Linked DNA regions of Notamacropus eugenii. Each later gene encodes a partner of the first gene's protein in a complex. Links are inferred from orthologs where the notes say so. Each region holds a gene or a part of one and is shown on either strand. Other genes may lie near its edges.

The links. Proteins that work in one complex are often made in the same cells at the same time.
Region 2: FBXL13 (region 1) and DRC12 share a complex: the UniProt entries of both Homo sapiens proteins name them as parts of the nexin-dynein regulatory complex. The link is inferred for Notamacropus eugenii from reciprocal best matches to the Homo sapiens genes FBXL13 and DRC12.

Annotation. Positions count from the first base shown.
Region 1 is NC_092874.1:152,909,603-152,920,419, reverse strand, and holds the start of FBXL13 (F-box and leucine-rich repeat protein 13), read right to left. Parts: upstream 4,995-10,817; 5' UTR 4,810-4,994; coding exon 4,543-4,809; intron 1-4,542. Other genes in the region: ARMC10 (armadillo repeat-containing protein 10), read left to right, coding at 7,011-7,146. UniProt on the Homo sapiens protein: Substrate-recognition component of the SCF (SKP1-CUL1-F-box protein)-type E3 ubiquitin ligase complex.
Region 2 is NC_092876.1:279,603,276-279,614,298, forward strand, and holds the start of DRC12 (dynein regulatory complex protein 12), read left to right. Parts: upstream 1-6,673; 5' UTR 6,674-6,724; coding exon 6,725-6,788; exon of another isoform or gene 6,789-6,876; intron 6,877-7,022; coding exon 7,023-7,098; intron 7,099-7,810; coding exon 7,811-7,881; intron 7,882-8,334; coding exon 8,335-8,454; intron 8,455-9,281; coding exon 9,282-9,374; intron 9,375-9,633; coding exon 9,634-9,764; intron 9,765-10,105; coding exon 10,106-10,234; 3' UTR 10,235-10,283; intron 10,284-11,023. Other genes in the region: NHERF4 (Na(+)/H(+) exchange regulatory cofactor NHE-RF4), read right to left, coding at 499-600. UniProt on the Homo sapiens protein: Component of the nexin-dynein regulatory complex (N-DRC), a key regulator of ciliary/flagellar motility which maintains the alignment and integrity of the distal axoneme and regulates microtubule sliding in motile axonemes.

The DNA.
Region 1 (10,817 bases):
ACCCAAGGTCATATAAGGTGGATAATGGCAGAGGTGGGATTTGAATCCAAGCCCTCTGATTCAGGAGCAAATGTTCTTTCCACCATACCTCACTGGTTTCCTTTCTTTATATTCTTTTAGAGCATGCTTTTCTTAAAAGACTCTGGGATGCATCTTAATTAGAAAACAATGGATTGTAGAGAAAACTACAATCCATTCAACTGTATTAAAACTGAAAATAATATCTCAACAGAAGAATGTTGGAATCTATATAAAGGAGATGAAAGATAGGAACTGATCAGTGGATTTCTTGGTACTGAACAATGGAAAGGGGCCTCAGATTGTGGGTGACTGGTACTGTTTAAATGAATTAAATTGATTCTTTAGACAGAAATATCCCTAGAATAAAGGTCATTTTTTCAAATTTTCCTAGCTTGGTGGAAATTTCCCTTAATTTCCCAATTCAATACTTAACACGTAAACTTGTCATTTTGTAATTGTGCCTCCCAAGTGGACTCATTAGGAGTAAGTGATCTGAATAGCAACTTTGATACCAGTTCTCTATCTAGGTGTGTCTCTCCTTGTATGTGAATAAACTGGTATTTTAGTTTATTCGTCAATCACTTTTAAGTTTGGTTAGTTTGAATCAGTTACCCAGAGCTTCATTACCTCAAAGTACGGGGATCATAAGATCAAATTCATGAGCCAGAAATAGCTAAGAGCCAGACCCTGGACTTGAAGTGATGCCTAAGGTTGCTGACCACTACTCATAGGGGCTCAGTTGAACCAGCCACCTAACCTTTCTCTCTCCAAATCATCCTTTTGTTGCTGTTCCATTTTGAAAATCTGCCTGTTTTCCAAATATGTAAATACAGTTGGTGTTTTAGAAATGCTAAGTACAAAGGAACTATAAAGTATAAGTACCTGATTCAATAAAAATCATTCCTTTCAAAACAGGCAACCAACAATTCAGATACTCCCTCTGCTGGACAATTTTTTGAGAAGTACTTTATTTTTTCACAGACATTAAACTCCACTCTAGCTTTGATATTATAGGATCATAAACTTAGAGCTGAAAAGTATCTTACAAGACATCACATTCAACTCTGCAGATGGGGAAACTGAGGCCTATGGAGGTTAAATAATAAAATCATAATAGTTAAGATATTGCACTTACAGGTTTGTATAGTGCTTTACAAATAGTATCTCATTTCATCCTCACAACAACCCTGGAAGATAGGTGCTATTATTTTCTCTTTTTCACAAATGAAAAAACTAAGGCACACAGAAGTTAAGTGATTTGCCCAGGGTCACAAAGCTAGGAATTATTTAAGGCCATGGGAGAAGTCAGGTACTCCTGACTCCAGGTACAGAGCATTGTGCCAACTGACTTTCTCAGGGTCACATAACTATGAAAAGTCTGAAGTGGAACTAAAACACACTTCTTTCTGAATGAGAATGCACTTTTATTTCCATTACTATGGCAGTAAGTATAGTGCTTTTGCTTTTTTTTAAACTGCAATGGAAATATCTCTCTTATTATTATTAATCAAATTTACAAGTAGGCAGGGTATATATGCCTGTATTATGTAATTTAATGACACACCAGAAAGAACCTTAACTGAAAGTATCTCCCTCTCAAGGGTACCAAAAAACCCAGATAACACATTCATTTCTTTGGCTTTCTCTCCTAGAGCCTTTTTAAAAATTCAGATGCTACTCTGAAGGGTTAACACACTGAACTAATTCACACAAGAATATATTACAGACAAAGGAGGCCTCAGGGGGAGGGGAGGGGGGAAGAATGTGAAAGAAGATGGACAAAGAAAGAGGAGCTAAGAGCCAAGACAAAATTCCCTTACTTTACAATTTTGCCTAAAGTTAGGCATAAATGACAACTCATTTAACTTAGCATTTCACAAACCCAGATTTTATAGATAATGAAACAGGTTTAGATAGGTTAAGTTACCCTGATCACACAACTAGAAAGCGTCTGAGCCAAAACTCAAATCCAAGTCTTTTGATGCCAAATCTTAATGTTTTCTCCAGTGTGCCATGCTTCTCAAAAGGGGTAAGTGGCAAGACATACAGGCAAAGTGCTAAATGTGAAATGAAAATAACTTTGAGGTTCCATCACAAACCCCTCACATTTGATGGCAAAGGCAGTAACAGTGGAAAATGGCAAATGTTAGAAGGGTTATGGGAAAACAGACATGTTAACGCACTGCTGGTGGAGTTGTAAATTGATCCAGCCATTCTACAATGTAATTTGGAATAATGCCCCCAAGGTTACTAAAGTGTATACTCTGTTATCCACTGATACTAGTCCTATGGTATCAAAGAGGTCAAAGAAAGAAGAAAATTAAAGTTATTATGTTTGATATTTATATATTTAATATATATTATATATAAAGATATTTACAGCAGCACTTTCCATAAAGAAAAAGAACTGGAAACTCAGAGTGTACCCATAAAGTAGGTAATGGTTGAACAAATGATGGTATATGAAAGTAATGAAATTCTCTTGTGTTCGTCCTTTGTTGCCAAAGAAGACCATGCCATCAGAGAAATGATGACATGACTTGCACTTGACTTTGCTTTGAGTGCGGGAGGGCTGTGCAGGTCACCGGCCTCGCTTCTCCAGAGCCATCTGAATCCAGTGACCTGACATTATTTCTCAGGATGACAGGAGATGGGCCAGGATGCAATGGAAATTCTCTTGTACTATAAGAACAGATGAAGGGGATGAATTTAGAAAAACCTAAGAAGACTTGTATGAACTAATGCAGAATGAAGTGAGGAGAACCAAAGCAATTTATATAATAACAATACTGTAAAGACAAACAACTCTGAAAGACTTAATAACTAATCAATGCAATATTCAAGAGGGCTGATAATGAGGCATGCTACTCATCTTTTGACAGAGATAGACTCAAGACGCAGAATGAGACATACATTTTTGGACATGGCCAATGTAGGAATTAGTTTTGCTTGACTATCCATATAATAAGAGCTAACATGTATATAGTATCTACTACATGCCAGGCACTGTGCTAAGCACTTGACAATTATTAATTCATTCGATCCTCATAATCACCGTGGGAGTTAGATGATCTTTTTATTATTCCCATTTTACAGATGAGGAAACCGAGGCAAACTCAGTGACTTAAGTGACTCACCCAGGGTCACACAGCTGGTGTCTACGACTGGCTTTCAGTGTGCCTTACTGCAGGTCCTGTGTTTTATCCACTGTACCACTTAGCTGCCCCCTTGTGCTGCATTCGTCAGAGGATTTGAGAATCCAAACAGATAATGGGTGTAAAGTGCCAAGTCAAAATATAACGTTATCATCATCACCATCATCCCCTCTAGATGAGATCCAGCTAAGCCAAATTACATTTGAAGATAAAACTGGACAAAAGATGATAAACAGAGAAGATAAAATGGATCTACAGGCATTTTCACAGTGATCTCTCTGCATTAAAAACATTTAGATTACAGCATCCCAATGTTGAAAATACCAAGTAATGGTATTTAAGAGGGGGAAGTCAAAACTGGTGGCTGAACCTAACTAAGCACAGAGAGAAGTCTGAATGGCGGACAACACAATTGTTAAAGCACTATGAAGTAGAATTTTAAGCTGAGACAGGGAAAGATTTCAAAAGAATGGAAAAGATCATTAATGGTGCCTTTATAAGGGGAAAAAAGATAAACGAAAAGACGTTCCCAGTTGCTATGTCTTCCTTCTTGTCTGTATAGGGTGCTATGAACACACTGAAGAGATCCAAAATGAAAACATAAGAAGTCAATAGCTACGCTTTCACAAACATTTTTTTTTAATACTAGGCCACATTTTTATGGGAAGACTGCTGACTGAAACAATTAAAATCCACATTGTCAAAATCCTTTGAAAATGTGTTCCAATATGAAACATAACTTTAATTTTATACCAAACCTGATGAGCTTTCAACTGTAAACATTTGTTCCTGTTTAACAAATGAGGAAAGGAACCCAGAGAAGTGATACCACTTAACCACGGCCCTAACAGATGTACAAAGGTAGACCAGAAATCCAGGACTCTCTCTGACTTTTTCCCCACCGTACCACGCTGCCTAAGTCTCCTTCCACTACATTAGGCCCCCTGATGTCACAGGCTAAGTGGGTGGTTCAGAGCAGGGGCTGAGATCAGATCAATAACAGGCTGATCCGCAAAAGGAGAGAGCTCCGTCTTAGGGTTGAAAAGGAATTTTAGTTGTCCTTTTACAAAGGTGGAACTCAGGGGCAAAAAGGTTGTGATTTGCCCAGGCGCAGACGGATGGCACAGCGCGCGAGAGCCGGAGAGGCCGGGGTTCAAGAAAAACTAGGTGGTGGTGGCGACAGAACTGTGGGCTTACGGGGCAGAACGGGGTCAGGGCGCAGAGGGCATTGACTGGGAGGAGGAAAGAGCACGTGGTGGGTCGGCGCCAGACAGGCGTGCGAGGCCCCGGGCAGGGGAGCCCGGCCCCGCCCCCCAGCCCGGCCCGGGTGGGCCGGCTCACGGCGCTCCCGACACCGCCCTGATACCTGGGACCCCTGGGAGAAGTGGTTCCTCTTGTCGAGGGTGGCATCGTTCTGGGCAGGCCATTTTGGGGCCTGCTGGGCGGGCTGGGGCCTGCCCAAGGCGGGTGGGACTAGCCGAGACAGGAGGACAAGTAGGCGAAGGTTCCCGCCCTTCGCACCCAGCACCACCCTCTGCGCTGGAGCAGCTGCCTCGGGGTTCTCTTTCTCCGCGCGTTGCTCCAGGCAACTGGGAGCTGGGACTCCCCCGCCCCCGCGCGGCGATTGGCGCATGCGCGTGTGGCTGGATGGAAGGGACCCCCGCCCAAGCCGGCCTGGCCCGGCCCACCGCGCAGCCAAGCTGAGCTTTGTAGGACAGTTCAGGGCATCACAGGCATGGATGAGGGTGGGCAGTGAGACTGGTCTGGGCCACTCATTCAAGCAACAAGCATTTACAGAAGCGCCTCCGGGGTGCCGGGCACTGCATTAAGCCCCCAGGTCAGGTGCTAGCGTCGGCGTCAGGACTCGAGTTCAAAACCTCCCCCAGTCGGGCCAACTGCCTTCTCTCAGCCTCTGTTTCCTTTTGTGTTAAATGAGAATGGTAATATCGCTCACCTCCCTAGGGTTGTTATGAGGTTCAAATGAGTTAATACATGAAAAGCAACAAAGCTAGTTACTATGTATCTTTTTAAAAATGTATTTGACTCAGCAGTGTGCGGCCCTGAAGAGCATTCTTAGGGAGCTTCCATCCAGTATGCACACATTTAAGGTGTCACACAAAAATACAGAATAATGAGTGGAGGCAGGAGCAACTGGATTTATCAGGAAAGACCTCAAGTAGGAGGCGTGCTTTAAAGGCTGCCAGGGACTCAGGAGGTTAGTGCATCCTAGGTCTGGGGAGTCCTGTGCATAAGTACAAGTAGGCCATCTTGGTTGGACCTTACAGTGAGTGGCTAAAGGGGAGCAATGGCTAATAACCCTGGAAAGTAAGGCTCTGGTCAGGCTGTGAAAAGAGCTTTAAATAAAAAGAGGGTTAAACAGAAGTCCTGAAAAATTCAATTTAATTCCATTCAATGAACTTTAAGCCCCTTCAGTTGCTTAGCCCTGCTTATCAAAGAGTGTTGGGGGAAGCCGTAGTGGGGAGGGAGACACCAAGTTTGCAGTTTTTCTATCCCTAGTCATTCATTTACCCTTATCTGCAAACTAACCCGTTCTTGCTATTCTGGGGAGAAAGGCGATTCAAAGCCGCACTTCTTGTGCTGGGGTGGACCTATCTGGATTACTTTAAAGCTGCCTATAAAAGTTGTCCCCACCTTGAAGCCATGTCTGATCTTCAGTCATCAGCCCTGCTACCTTGACATACTTAAAGTAAATCTTTTCAGTTCTCTTTGCCCTGAGTTTTGCCTCCTTAATCAGGATGAAAACCCAGATGAAGAATTTTCCTTTCAACACTACTACATGTGCAATGCAATGCTAAGACATGGAGGTTAAGGCCTTAAGGAAGGTCAGGCGGGTGGCATGTACTAGAAGCCAAGATTTGAGGCCAATTCTCTTGACTCCAAATCCATTGTCCCTTTCCCTTCTAGGGCTAGGGCAGTTTCTTAAACAAGGACTGGAAATAAAGGCTACAAATGTTTGCGCTAAGCTCACCTGCCTGGCCCTTCTGGAGTCAAGCTTTTGTGTGTGTGATTCCCTTGTCGATCTAGTGAAGGCTATAGACCCCTTCTCAGATATATATGATATATTTATCGTATATAATGTATAATATTATACGTGTTATATGGTATATTGTTGGTATATTATATGGTATGTGTTATATGGTATATTATATATACTATATGGCGTATATATATTTTAATGTATGAATAGTTATTACAAAAGAAGTCAATTATATTGAAATAAATTGTTTCCTTTCCTCCCCAAAACCAAGTTCATAAACCCCTTGCAATCTACCCATGGATTCTGGGCATCCTCCTAAGTGCCTCTTCCCCCCTCCTATTTTAACGAATGCAGGGCACTCTCTCCCTGAACCGGAACAAGCACGCAGAGCTGCTCCCGGAGGGGTCGCCCCGGAATTATCTGGAGCTTGGTTATATGCACCGGAGGTGGGTAGATGTCTACATGCAACTCCGACAACAAAGTCTAAGACCTAGCGTCTTCCACCGGTAAAACAAAATAAAAGCCCTTCCTTTTTGTGCGAGTGCGTGCGTGCGGCGCTCGCGAGGGTTACCCCAGCGGCCTCTGAACTCTGGGGCGGCGAGGACCCCTCCAGCGGAAGCGCAGGAAACGCAGTCTCTAGCCTGCCGGAGGTGGGGGTGGGGAGGCGGAACTGAAATCCCCTCTTCCTCCTCCGCTGAGCCCGCCCCCGTGCGCAGGCGCACTGGCCACCCGCTCCCACGTGCTCCCGCTGGCGAGCGCGCTGCTGGCAGCCTCGGCCCTAGGTCCCAGGGAGTATCGCCGCAGCCTGGGCATTTCCCGGGCTCCAAAGGGGCAGCATGGGCAGAGCCCGGGAGGCGGGCTGGGTGGCGGGCCTGGTGCTCGGGGCCGGCGCTTGTTACTGCATTTACCGACTGGTCTGGGGGAAAGAAAAGAGCCGGAAAACGGGGCCGGCCAGCCCCTCCCCTTCTGCAGGTGAGCTCCCCCTTTTCCCCGATGGTGGGGAAGGCGGGAGAGCCGAACCCCGCGCGCTGTCTGCTTCCCTGCCTTGTACTGGAGGCGTGGGAACGGGAGTCTGTAGCCCCGGGGGAACTGGGCCTGGAGCAGAAGCCCGTGGAGCGCCCTGCCCCCGAGGCACGTGGCCAGCCCCGGAGGCAAGTTCCAATCCGAGCTCAGACTCGTAGGGGCCCTGCGACCCTGGGCGAGTCACTTCACTTCTGCTTGTTTGTCTCCCTAACTGGAAAATGGGGTGATCGTAGCCCCCTGCCTCCCGAGTCGCCGTGAGGTTCAGCCCGGGGGCTGCTTTTCTTAGATTCCGCAGTGCCCTTGGTGCTGGAGGTGGGGAGGGGAGCTCAAATGTCTGCCGGTGGAAGCCTTCAGGCTTTCTTGAGGTGTGTGCAGGAAGCTTTTCTCAGCCCTCCTTAAAGAGCACTGCCTTTCCTCCGAAATTTTCTCCAAATTATCGTAGTTACAGAAATATGTATACACACACATACATATGTACACACAGGCAGTTAGGTGGTGCAGTGGATAGTGCACCAGTGCAGGAGTCAGGACGACCTGAGTCCAAATCTCACCTCACACACTTGACACTCACTAGCTGTGTGACCTTGGACAAGTCACTTCACCCCCATTGCCTCATCCTGGGTCATCTCCAGTCATCCTGATGAATATCTGGTCACTGAATTCAGATGGTTCTGGAGGAGCAGTGAGGCTGGTGACCTGCACAGCCCTCCCTCACTCAAAACAAAGACAAGTGCAAGTCATGTCATTTTTTCTCTGATGGCATGGTTGTTGACAAGGATGGTGGAACACATATATGCACACACATGTGTATGTATACATATATTTTATATAATACTATATATTACATATAATATGTATAATCTATAACCTACTTAGCTATCCTCTATCTCTTACTACAGACTTACTCTGTTCTGTTTGACTAAAAGCGATTCTTAATGTCCTGAGTATTAACTGAATTTTCATGATAGACAGTAATATTAATGACTCTAGAGCTACTGAAGAAAATCTAATATTCCTCAGAAGTAATAGAAATAACATTATTTCCCTAAAGTTGTAGTTCTTCTCTTGTCATGAGGTTTTTTGTTCTGTCACTTAATTTTTTTAAAACTAAATTTTTTTACACTTAGTAGGTGTGTGACCCTGGGCAAGTCATTTAATTCTTTTACCTTGGTTTTCTCATCCATAAAATGAACTGGGGAAGGAAATGGCAGACCACTCCAGTATCTTTGCCAAGAAAATACCACAAAGAGACAGACATGACTGAACAACAAGAAATCACTTAAAAAATCACTTTGGCATTCTTGATTCATTTTCTCTGTCAGGTCAGTGATTTTTAACCCATTATATAACTGGAGAAGCTTATTTACTGACATTAAAATGACTTGTTCGTAGAGGAAAAATTGATGTCCTTTCAGTCCTAGGATGCAGGTCTACCCTAGTGTTGCACTGATACCTACAAAATGTTAGAAGTCTTAAGAGCAGGAGGGGGTTCTTCACCTTTTTTTGTATCATGGACCCTTTTGGCAATCTGGTGAAGCTCATAGACCCATTTTTTTTTTTTTAGAATAATACTTTCAAGTGTGTAAAATAAAATACATAGAATTACAAAGGAAAAGAATTATATTGAAATACAGTTGTCTCAGTTAAAAGAAAAACAAGAATTTCATGAACCTTGAGATTAACGTAAAGACCTGAGATCCCATAGAGAGTGACCTTTAAAATGTGGAGTCATTCTTCTGCAAAGTATCCTTGGAATAACATGGTTAAGAATTGTACAAAATCAGGTGTGGATGGATTGCACTGTGCATTGATGGGATAGTTCTTTGCTGATGAAGGATATTTTAAATGAAGGCTTTTTTGTTCAACTAAAAAGGCCATCATGGATGCAAAGGAATAAAAAAATTTTTTTTAAATTTCTCGTTGACTAATGTTTGAATTTTCAAGGTACTCCATCATATTCTGCAAGGCTCATTTCACTTAGGGAAGGGAATAAGCCTTTATTAAGAACCTGCTATGTACTAGACATTGCTAAATGCTTTATAAATATCTCATTTGATTCCCTTCCACTACAATCCTGGGAGCTCAATGTTATTATTAGGCACATTTTACAGTTGAGTCAACTGAAGCAGACAGGTTAAGTAACTCAACCAAGGTCACAATCTAGCAAATATCTGAGGATAAATTTGAGTTCTACCCACTGTAGTATGTAGCTAGTTAGAGGAATGATTATCGATTATCGACAGAGAGACCACTAAGGTGGACGTTGTCAAGAATTAGCTAGTTAAGTGACTGGCCGTATGACAACATAATAAATGTCAGGAGTTGAGTTTTGTAGGTACCATCTGTCTCTCCATCTTTCTATGTGACTCACCCTCTCTGCCAGTCATACATTTCCTAAATAATACTCCTTTTGCAAGTTCTAGCACATATACCAGCATTAAATATATGCTGCAGCCTACTTGTGTTCACCATGTATCTCTCTACCAGAGGGGATAAGATCACCATCCTTAAGAAATTATGGTACAAGATTTGCAACCCTTTAGTTAGCTTCACTGGAAGGATGTCTGTGTTGAAAAACAGGCTTTTGTGCTACAAAGCAGCTTAAGATTATTAAAATCTCTGTGTGATTTCCCTCGTGCAGTTCACCCCAATCTTGCTTTTCACTTCTCCCAACTCATTATCCACCCATAGCTAGATCTGCTTCTGGCTAGATCTACTGATGGATGGACTCAGTGGGCTGGCCTTCCAACTGCATGGCACGGTCTGGACCATGGGAGAGGCTGGTGACCTGCACAGCCCTCCCTCTCAAAACAAAGTCAAGTGCAAGTCATGTCATGTCTCTGATGGCATGGTCTTCGGCAATGAAGGTCGAACACACAATGAAGGACCAGTAATTTCCAAACTTGCTGTTTATATAACTCTATCAGTGAAAAATGACTAAGGCTATCTACTTGCAGTGTATTTTTATACAATTTTAAATTACATAATATTTAGTTATGTACATTTTAGTTTTACACAAGCCTTTACAAAAGTATTGGGTGAGAATATTTTGAAAATATTTTATTAATGGTACAAAAAATGATTTTACTCTCACCAAAACTTAATTCTGATGCAAGCATTGGGATTGAATATCTAAATTACTTTTGAAGTTTTTTTTTTTTACTTTAATACTTTGTGATACAGTGATTTGAAATTCTGGTTCTATGTTTGAAAAAAAAACAAACTTAGTTTTAACAGCTGTCAGAGAACAAAAAAAACCTTGACAAAGCTAAATTCAAGTGAAAGGAGTATATTGTTGGCTGTGCCCACTAAATCATTATTCTAACCATTACCCAACTATGCAGAGATTTGTATTGAAATTCAGTAGTAAATTTCCATCTTCCCTGATACCAGTTAGTTGTTGTTGCAAACTAATTGGAGCGTGCTGCATTTTTCTATTTTTAACAAATGTATTCACAACCCAGTCAGACCCTTCATTGGGAACATTTTTTAAGAAAGTTGGAAAGTTCACTCTCCAGAGTTGTGGTTTTTTCCCAAGTGTGCAGATAAAGAATTTTTAATAGATGGTACACATAGTTTTCAGCAACTGAGGATGGTGAATATCCAGGAGGAAAGGATGG
Region 2 (11,023 bases), on another chromosome or scaffold:
GTGACCTCCAGGTGGCAGGTTCCCCACTTTAGACTTTATTAATATCTTCCCTCCCCTGCCAAAAAAAGGTACATGAGAGAACATTAACAATTACTGGTCTATATATCTACTTTGCCATCTATGCAAAATATTTAAGAAAATAATTTATGCACAAATTAAAAACATCTTTAATGAGGACATTAGTTGGGAACAAGCAGGATTCTACAACTGATATTCAGCAATGGACCACACCCTTACCATTCCACAATTGCCTGAAAGATCAGAAAATATAAGAGCTCACTGCTTTAGTTTGTTGGTTGTCAAACTGCATTTGATTTTGAAGAGTAAAACACCATCTTAAAAGTTCTTTTTCAACAATGTCTCCCATCCATACGTCAAAATCATTCAACATTTAGTGAGCTATAACAGCAGAAATAACCCTTTTCGATAAATCCTTTGATCACCAACATCAGATGAGGCATCAGAAAAGAGATTTTTGCTCCCCAAAGATGTCCACCACTATGATAGAGCTGATCCTGTATGAAGTCCAAATTGAAGTTTTTGTTCATAGTTACTTTGATGAGGTCCACAGATGAGCCTGTTAGATATTATTTCATCACTCTGTAAAACAATGCAGAGAATCCTGCAAGATATGGTCATAACACTCAAAATAGTTTATCCTGACCATCCATGCAAGAAAAGACAGAAAAGAAGTAGATATGAATTTTTATTGCCCAGATTACAACATGCATTTGAAATCTTCCTGAGTTCAAATCAGACACTGACTACCTATGTGACCCTGAGCCCTCTTACCCTCTGCCTCAGTTGTGTCATGTGTAAAATGAGCTGGAGAAGGAATGGCAAACCACTCCAGTATCTTTGCCAAGAAAACCTCAAATGGGGTGACAAAGAGTCAGACACAACTGAACATCAAAATGTGTGTCTGGGACAGACAGTTCATGTGGACACCGAGTTAGGTCCAGTATAAATGGACAATAAGATGTGAGAAGAGTAGATTTGATTACCTTCATGAAATTGCAAATCTCCTATAATGACCCCAAATGTCTCCTGGAAACAATAGCCCATCTTTTTAATACTAACTTGTTATTTGTATTGCTTTATGGTAGAAAGAAATAGGATCCAAAAGATTCTAAATAATAAAAAATTTCTATCACATAGGGCAATGTGGAGGTGAATGGTGAATGTGAGCAGATTGCAATACAACCAGTAAGGGTTTTTGAATAACAAGAGTAAAATATATTATCAAGGAAATGTGTGATAGGAAGAAAAGATGGGCTAGTTACTTAACAAGTTTGAAGGATAAGATAATCGGAGTAAACCACTGGTATCCATCTTCAAGATGCCAAGAAAAACAAGAAAGGCCTCCAGTACACTGGATGGATCCCTGTAGCAAATTTCTGGGACAATATGAATAAAAGTCATACAACTTGAGAAAGCATCCTTGGATTGTTTTCTGCATCATTGGAGGGAATACCCAAATTGATGATGTCAGAGATCCACTTGGCAGTATTTGAGAGATATTGTCAAAGGTATAATGGCAATGCTTTGTAGAATATGTGAGACAAAAAAAATATAAAGGACAGGAAGACTAATTAGTAAAGTGTTGAAAAAGTCCAAATGAGAGGTAGCAAGGCTCTGAACTAAGGTAATGGTAGTGAAAATAGAAAGGAAGGAATAGATGCAACAAATACTAACCAGGTGAAATCTATGGAATTTGGTGATTGATTCATATGAGGAACAAAGGAGTCAAAATTTTGATCCTGGTATGACTGGAAAAATGGTGAACCATTAACAAAAGTTGGAAAATTGAGGGAAAAGGTTGGCCTTTATGGAAGAAAATGAGTTCCATTTTTACATGTTAAGTTTGAGAAGACAGAAGAACAATAAGGAGACATCCAGTATATGAATTGGAAATGCATGACTAGAGTTTAGGAGAAAGGTCAAAACTAGATATTGAACTTCGGGGATCCTCTACATAGAGAGATAATTGAAGGCTGACATGTGGATGAAGTTGACAAGCAAAAGAATGTAAAAGACAAGGGGGTCAGTGACAAAACCCAAACCTCAAACTAAACCTCAGCATTTCCAGATTCTCAAGTTGATCAAGATTTTAGACGTGGAAAGTCCTTATAAATTGTTTAGTTTAATCACTTCATTTACAAATGAGGAATCTGAGACTCCAAAGGTTGTGACCATACTAAGGATGTATAGCTATTTAGTGGCAGAGCTATAACTAGGATCCAGAGGACCTCAGTCTCATTCCATTGCTCTTTCAAGTATACCCATCATTCTGAACAGTACTTCTCATTATATGGGTTATCTAATTTTTCCCTAAGCCTCATTTTCCATTTCCCTGGTAGAAGGAGATGTTCTCTCTCCTCTAGGTTCCCTCACCAATATGCCTCAATTATAAAACTTACTACACTAAAAACTCATTGAAGATAAGTAATATTTCTCAGTGGATTCATAACAAATGTTTGATCAGCCAAAATACATACAGCAGTACTTTTGGTAGGAGCAAAAAACTGGAAACAAAGTATATGTTCGTCAAATGGGGAATGGTTAAGCAAATTGTGGTGCATGTAATGGAAAATTACTACATCATAAGAAATGCTGAATAAGGACACATGGAAAGCCATGAACTGATACAAAGTGAAGTAAACAGAACAGGGAAAACAAAATACAAAATGAAGGCAGCCTACGCATAAGGGAGGGAGTTGGTCTCTGACCAAACTAATTATAATCACCCAAAAAAGTCATCAAAGACAGGAAGCTAAAGCACAAATAATTAGGTGTTAATGTGTTAACAAAATGCTAACACTGCTACCCCTTTTCAAAATGTGTGAAATTTTCCCTGATGTACATAGAGAGGAAGTTTACCATTAGCTAACACATTAACCATGCCCTTGATCACCTTTAAAATGCTAGCTTACTAAGTCCTGCCTTCCCTGGAGATAGGAAGCAGTTCAATGAATGGGACTTTACCAGCAAAAGAAATAAGACTAAGAATTCAAGAGAGAACCAGTTCTGGAAATGGACATGAGCTAGGGAGGGGAATAGACCCTGAGAGTCCAGTTGAGCAACAGGAAGAAATGCTGTGCACAAGGGGAAGCAGTGTGAAAACCACATGGAGAACAAATATTGAGAGCATGAAGTTGCCTTGACTACACTACTATTGTACTTTGTGCCTATTCTTTTCGTGTATGCTATATGTATTTGTAGGTATATGTGCCCTAGTTTAATAATGGAAATGTTTTAGGGACAGATAGGTGGCGTAGTGGCTAAAGCACTGGTTTGGGGCAAGTCTCTTAACTCTGACTGCCTTGTAAAAAAAAAAATAGGGTCAATGTTTTGTAGCTACTGTTTTTACTGCTTTATCTTAGTAAAAGCACCTTCTTTGAGCTACTTGTATCTACTGACTAAGTTAAGGGAAAAGCTCATTGGTGAGAGTTCTTAAACTATAATTTCAACAGTGTAAACCCAGAGTATCCTGCAAACTGATGGTAATGGTGGCCTTCTGGGAAGGTAACTCAGAGTGGGTGTTACAAATATAAATGGAAAGAACAACAACAAAAAAAAAAAAGATTTAAATTGAACAGTGTGTAATTATAATGACCAAGCTTGGCCCCAAAGAAAAAAATGAGAAAATTTATTTTCCTTCAATATTAGCAAAGTCAAGGGGATTATATCCGTACAATATATACAGCATATAATGTTGGATTTAGTTGATGTGGTAGTTGGTTTTGCTGAAGTCTGTTTTTTGTTCTTTTTAATTTTTATTAAAAGGGTTGCTTCGAAAACTCAAAAGTCAAGCCACTGGCTGGGAAAATGTCCAGAAAAGGGGAAAAAAATAAGACTATAGAAGGTTACTTTCTTGGTGAACAGATAATTCCTCCCTTCCTTTCTGATGAGGAAGAACAATGCTTACCATCAGGGAAAGACACAGAAGTCAAGGCTTCTGTATCCCACACATCCAAAATAAATATACCATGGGCTCAGGCCATGGAAGAGCTCAAAAAGGATTTTGAAAATTAAGTAAGAGAGGTGGAGGAAAAACTGGGAAGAGAAATGAGAGAGATGAAAGAAAAGCATGAAAAGCAGGTCAACACCTTGCTAAAGGAGACCCCCAAAAATGCTGAAGAAAATAACACCTTTAAAAATAGGCTAACTCAATTGGCAAAAGAGGTTCAAAAAGCCAATGAGGAGAAGAATGCTTTAAAAAGCAGAATTAACCAAATGGAAAAGGAGGTTCAAAAGCTCACTGAAGAAAATAGTTCTTTCAAAATTAGAATGGAACAGATGGAGGCTAATGATTTTATGAGAAACCAAGAAATCACAAAACAAAACCAAAACAATGAAAAAATGGAAGATAATGTGAAATATCTCATTGGAAAAACAACTGACCTGGAAAATAGATCCAGGAGAGACAATTTAAAAATTATGGAACTACCCGAAAGCCATGATCAAAAAAAGAGCCTAGACATCATCTTTCATGAAATTATCAAGGAAAACTGCCCTGATATTCTAGAACCAGAGGGCAAAATAAGTATTCAAGGAATCCACCAATCACCTCCTGGAAGAGATCCAAAAAGAGAAACGCCTAGGAACATTGTAGCCAAATTCCAGAGTTCCCTGGTCAAGGAGAAAATATTGCAAGCAGCTAGAAAGAAACAATTCAAGTATTGTGGAAATACAATCAGGATAACATAAGATCTAGCAGATTCCATATTAAGGGATTGAAGGGCATAGAATAGGATATTCCAGAAGTCAAAGGAACTAGAACTAAAACCAAGAATCACCTACCCAGCAAAACTTCAGGGGGAAAAATGGTCTTTCAATGAAATTGGGGACTTTCAAGCATTCTTGATGAAAAGACCAGAGCTGAAAAGAAAATTTGACTTTCAAACACAAGAATGAAGAGAAGCATGAAAAGGTAAACAGCAAAGAGAAGTCATAAGGGACTTACTAAAGTTGAACTGTTTACATTCCTACATGGAAAGACGATATTTGTAACTCTTGAAACTTTTCAGTATCTGGGTACTGGGTGGGATTACACACACACACACACACAGAGCACAGAGTGAATTGAATAGGATGGGATCATGTCTTAAAAAAATGAAATTAAGCAGTGAGAGAGAAATATATTGGGAGGAGAAATGGAATGGGGCAAATTATCTCTCATAAAAGAGGCAAGCAAAAGACTTTTTAGTGGAGGGAAAAAGAAGGGAGGTGAAAGAAAAACATGAAGTTTACTCTCATCACATTCCACTAAAGGAAGGAATAAAATGCACACTCATTTTGGTATGAAAACCTATCTCACAATACAGGAAAGTGGGGGAGAAGGGGATAAGCAGGGTGGGTGATGGAAGGGAGGGCAATGGGAGGAGGGAGCAATTAGAAGTCAACACTCTTGGGGAGGGACAGGATCAAAAGAGAGAATAGAAGCAATGGGGGGCAGGATAGGATGGAGGGAAATATAGTTAGTCTTACACAACACAACTGTTATGGAAGTCATTTGCAAAACTACACAGATATGGCCTATATTGAATTGCTTGCCTTCCAAAGGGAATGGGTGGGGAGGGAGGGATGAAGAGAAGTTGGAACTCAAAGTTTTAGGAACAACTGTCGAGTACTGTTCTTGCTACTAGGAAATAAGAAATACAGGTAAGGGGGTATAGAAAGTTATCTGGCCCTACAGGACAAAAGAAAAGAGGGGGACAAGGGAAGGGAGGGATGATAGAAGAGAGGACAGATTGGTGATAGGGGTTATTAGAATGCTTGGTGTTTTGGGGTGGAGGGAGGGGACAAATGGGGAGAAAATTTGGAACCCAAAATTTTGTGAAAATGAATGTTAAAAGTTAAATAAATTAATTTTAAAAAAAAGAAAAAAAATAAAGTGATTGTTAACTCCTCAAAAAAAAAAAAGGGTTGCTTCTCTGAGTATGAGAGAGATGTGTTGAGAGAAGAAGGTGCTATAATAAAAGTATATCAGTGAAAAGTAAAACAAAATCAAAAATAAATGATAAAAGAATGAAAAAATGCAATAAAAATATGTCATTTTAGAGGTAGAAGATTATTCCAAAAGAAGAGATGAAAAAATTCAACCTCCTTTTTTGCAGAGGTGGGGAATTGTGGTTGTAAGTATGTTGCATATTATACTATCATATTTAGATGTTTTGGTTACTTTTGTGGAACTTTTTTCCTTTCTTTTTTATTCTTTGTTACATGACTCAATGGGTAGGGTAAGAATGTATTCAGAAAAAGGAAGGTAACATAAAAGTAAGTGATAGCAAAATTAAAAAGGAATATTCTAGCTCAAACCTTTCATCTTATGGGAATTATGCCAAATAATTATCATTACTGTTGCCATCATCAGCATAATAAAGCTATTTTTAAAATTTTAACATTTATGATGTTCCGAATCTATGGTCTCCAAAAAAATCTGGACCAATCTTCCCCAAGTCATTCTTCACCAGTTCCCCCTGGGATGTGGAATAGGGGAAGGAGATACATGGAGAACAGGAAGTTAATCTAAATCAGTAGTTAATTCTGTCTTCCTACAAACAACTCCCAAGTTTCTTGGTTGCTAAGACAGAAGGCAGCCCAGACACTCAACCTTCCTTCCACTATCTCCACCCCCTACATTGCTGATCTGTACTGGTTGCCCTAATCCAGCCCCTTCCTTGGTCTTCCAGCTCATTGGGCCATCCTACTGCCTTTCAACATGAGTTCTCTGGGGAGACACACCACAGAAGAAATAGGAGGCACATCTGAGGAGGTACCTACAGGTAAGGGGAGGCAGAGAAAGAGGGGGCAAAGGCAGGCACAAAGCTAACCTTATACAAAGAATTACTTTCTCCAAAAGAGGACCCAAAGGTATTCCTTTTTTACATAGTGGATGAAAGCTACACAGACTGATCACCCATTATTATTCTACCAGATAGTCACCTTAAAATGAGAGTAGAGAGGGCATCTCCTTAGGACCCAGAACTTGAACACAATGTGCCCATTTCCTCCTCTAGGACACCAAGATGCCACCAAAAATCAAAGGAAAAGGATCAAAAGCTGGGGGACAGAAAAAGAAAAAGAAGAATCAAGGTGAGTGAGGTGGGTAGAGGCTGGTGGGAACAATGCGGGTGTCTTTGAAGGCTTTGTCCACCTAGCATCCCTTAGAGTCCTGACCCCCTTCCCCATGGTGGAATCCAGTCCGAGCCTATTTCTTCCTCCTGGCCTTGGTTCCTTCATTTATAACAATGGTACCCAGGGATGGGGAAAGATGAACTTGTGTCATTTCCTCTAATTGAAGATCCATTCTCCATCTCTTCCTGCTCCCAGGGACCAAGATTCTACATGAAAACAAAATGCAGGCTCTCCTGGAATCACCAGGGATCCAGAATCTCCTCTGGGTCAGCCTAGCCTATTTTGAACTACTCAACTTTTGCAATTGTTGCTCTTTCACACTCCTGTACCACCAGCTCCAGAGGGACCTGCAAGTGCCCACAACCTTTAGATTTAACCCCAAAAAGGTTTCTAAACATGGGAGTTGAGGGTGGAGGAGAATGACAAAGGAGAAGCTATAATAGATTAGGCCTTTATATGGTTTCCATGAAACTGTCCCTCACTTCCTGTTTTGTAATATAGAAGGAGTCATGGACTAGGAGTCTGAAGATGTGAGTTTTGTTTGAACTGCTGTGTAACCTTAGGCAAATTCACTTCACCTCAGTTCCTTCATCATAAAATTTGGGAGTTGGAAAATAATAAAGTTCCTTCTAGCTCTAAATCTATAATCCTATGATTCCTTCTTGCCAAGGACAGATGTCGATGTTGAGATCAAGCACAGGAGAACAGCCTTGGAGGTGGAGATCCTCCGTGACCATCTGGGTAAGGGAATAATAGAGGAAGTTCCCCTACTCCTTGGAGAGTGGAGGTGATACCTATTCCATAGTTGCTCCTAAGTAGTTCCTAGCTAAATAGATCATTATGGGAAATTATGTGAAAAGTCTAGGTAATGAAGGTTAGAATTATAGTTAATTATAATCCTTACAGAGATGAGGATGCCATTTTCCATTGGCCAGAGCAGAGAAGAAATTTGTTCCAAAAGAGTGACTGGTAGACTTCAGGGCTGGGGGAAACAGGGAAAACTCTAAAACATTGGGCAAATAAGAACTTGGAGACTCCAGGAGTAGGGAAGAGAGGAGTATAGCAGTGTGTGCGTGTGTGTGAGTGTGTGTCTGTGTGTGTGTGCACACGTGCATGTGGGTGGGAGGTATCCTGGGAGAATGAGATATTCTTTATGGGCTGAGGACTTCATCCTTCATTTGGTGCCACCCCTAGCTCTTCGACGGGATGAGACTCGCCAGGCCATAGCTTGCAGAGAACTGCTCCGAGTGAGGCTGCAGGAGTTGGAGGCTGAGGTGGAGGAGGCTCGAGGTGATGGAGAGGCTGTGTATGCAGGTGACAGGAGGGGCCTCAGACTATAGGACAATTTATCACCAATTCTGTCTTTGAGCTTTTTCCACTCAGCATAAATTGGATGAGGCTCTTGTGGGATCTTAGAAAGGGATGTCTCAAGGTTCATAACCCCTCCATCCCACAGTGATTGTAGATCTGGAATGGGACAGAAGATCTGGTTGTCTTTCTGTTCTCTATTTGTTATAAATTTCCATCTTTTGGGTGACTTTACAAGCAGAATTTTCTATATCATAAACAAGCCATGGGAAGGTGTTTCCCAAGGCAACTTCCTATAATATCATCCCCCATATGGAGTACCATGTTCATTTCTGGGTACCACATATTAAGAAGGATGTAAGTTGGAAAGTATCTCCAGAGGAGCACAGCCAGGATGGAGAAGAACCTCAAGATCAGATCAGATGAAGGAACTGGGAATTTTTAGCCTGAAGACAACTTCTAGGGGAAATGTAGCTGTCTTCTAATATTTGAAGAACCATCTCATGAAAGGGATTAAATTGGTTCTTCTTGGCTACAGAAGACAGAACTAAAAACAATGGGTAGAAGCTTGAGAGTAGCAAATTTAACTGTGATAAGGAAAAAACTTCCTAAAATTTAGATCTATTGAAAAGTAAAATGGACTGCCTTGGAAAGTAATATGTTCTCTCTCACAAGAAATCTTCAAGCAAAAACCAGGTGACAAATTGGTATGTTGCAGGGAAGTTTCTTGTTCTGGTATAGATTAGACTAGATGGCCAATGATATCTCTTCCAATTCTAATTCTATGATCTTCCTTATTGGGAGTACCTCCTACTACTATCCCATACCCCAAGAGATGAGTCGTCAGTACCATGCCCTGAGGGAAGAGACTGAGACACAGAGACATCAGCTGGAAGAGAAAGTAAAGGTCCTTCAGAAAGAGTTAGGTAGGTATGAATTTCTGTGTCCTAGATGGGTACCTGATCAGTCTGTGTTCTGAGAATGGGATATAGCAGGGCTAGAGCTAGACAAATGAGCTGAGTTTGACAAGAATGAAGGGATGAGGCAGCATTCTTTTAGGTGAGGCATCTAAGGGTATTCTGTATCTTGGAAAGTGCAAAGGGGACAGATTCTCCCACAGGCCACTGAGCAGACTCTATTCAGCTGCCTTCATATTCCTCATTAATCCTGTCTCTGGCTCCCCAGAGACATGCCAAAGAGAGGCAAAAACTGCTAAGAGAGAGGCTGAACAGGCATTAGCAGAACGAGACAAGACCCTTGCCCAGCTTCAGGCCTATGTGACAGACATGGAGGCTAAGTATGAAGAAATTCTACATGTAAGTAATAACCAGCATTACTCTTGGACCTTTCCCTCCTGTACTTTGGCATCCTCTCCCCAGGCTCACAAAACAGTTCCTAATTAGCTCTTCAGATCTCACTGGGAAAGACAAAATTTGACTTGAAGATAGGCTGCAAGGAAGAGACATTTGCACAGGAGTCCAGGGTCCTCCATCCATCTCAGTAGTATGTGGCAGGTGGCATGGCTAATTTAGGTCCCTGGCACTAGGGGCTTTTAAGAAAACAGCAGGAGGTGCAATTCCAAAGCCATTGTGGGGCATAACTGACTTATTCTCTTCTGTGAGGTTGAGACCAAGTAAAAGATGGTCCTACTTTACAGTGCAGCCTGGATCGACTCTTGGCCAAACTGGCCACAGCTAAATTGGAGTGGGATGCAGCTGCTCTGAGGCTCCATGAGAAACACAAAGAACAACTTCAGCAATTTGGGCTCAACCCCCTATACTTCTGAAGCTGGGGACCCTTGGACTTCAGGGCCTTCTGGGCTCCCAACAATAAAGGTTTTGTTCCTCTAGCTCTAAGCAACAGGGGGCCTTTCTCCTCCTGAGCCCTTGAGTCCCTTCTCTAGATGAAGCCAGCATGGGAGGAAGCTCTATCAGTGGGAGAAAGCATATTAGGTTGGAGGCAGAAACATCTACGTAATAACACTTTATCTATTGAGTTGTGGGGAAAGAAATGTTGGCAAACCCAACCCATCCATAGAAATAATATCCCCACTCCCCTCCCCCTCCCCCCCATCCCCAAGATTCATGGAATCTTGATCTTTGTGTCAAAGGTAGCTAAGTGATGCAGTAGAATGAGCACTGGGCTCAGAGTCAGGAAGACCTGACTTCAAATCCAGCCTCAGACATTTACTAGCTGTGTGACCTTGGGCAAGTTACTTAACCTCTTTTTGCCTCAGTTTCCTCAATTATAATATGGAGATAACAGCACCTACCCCCAAAGGTTGCTGTAAGGGTCAAATGAAATCCATATAAAATGCTTACATAGTGCCTCGTATACAATAAGCACTATATAGATGCTTATTCCCTTCTTTACCCTTCCCCATATTCTTTCCTCCACTCCAGCACAAACACAGGCAGCGAGACTTGTGGGAAAGGATAATTTCAACAGGCTCTAAGTCTACATCAAATACATACTTGTTGCCCTGGAATCCCACTGTCCCTTGCTTTCTCCATAGGTCCTGAGGGAAGGAAGGAAACTAACATTTTACAAATATTTCATTTGATCCTCACAACAA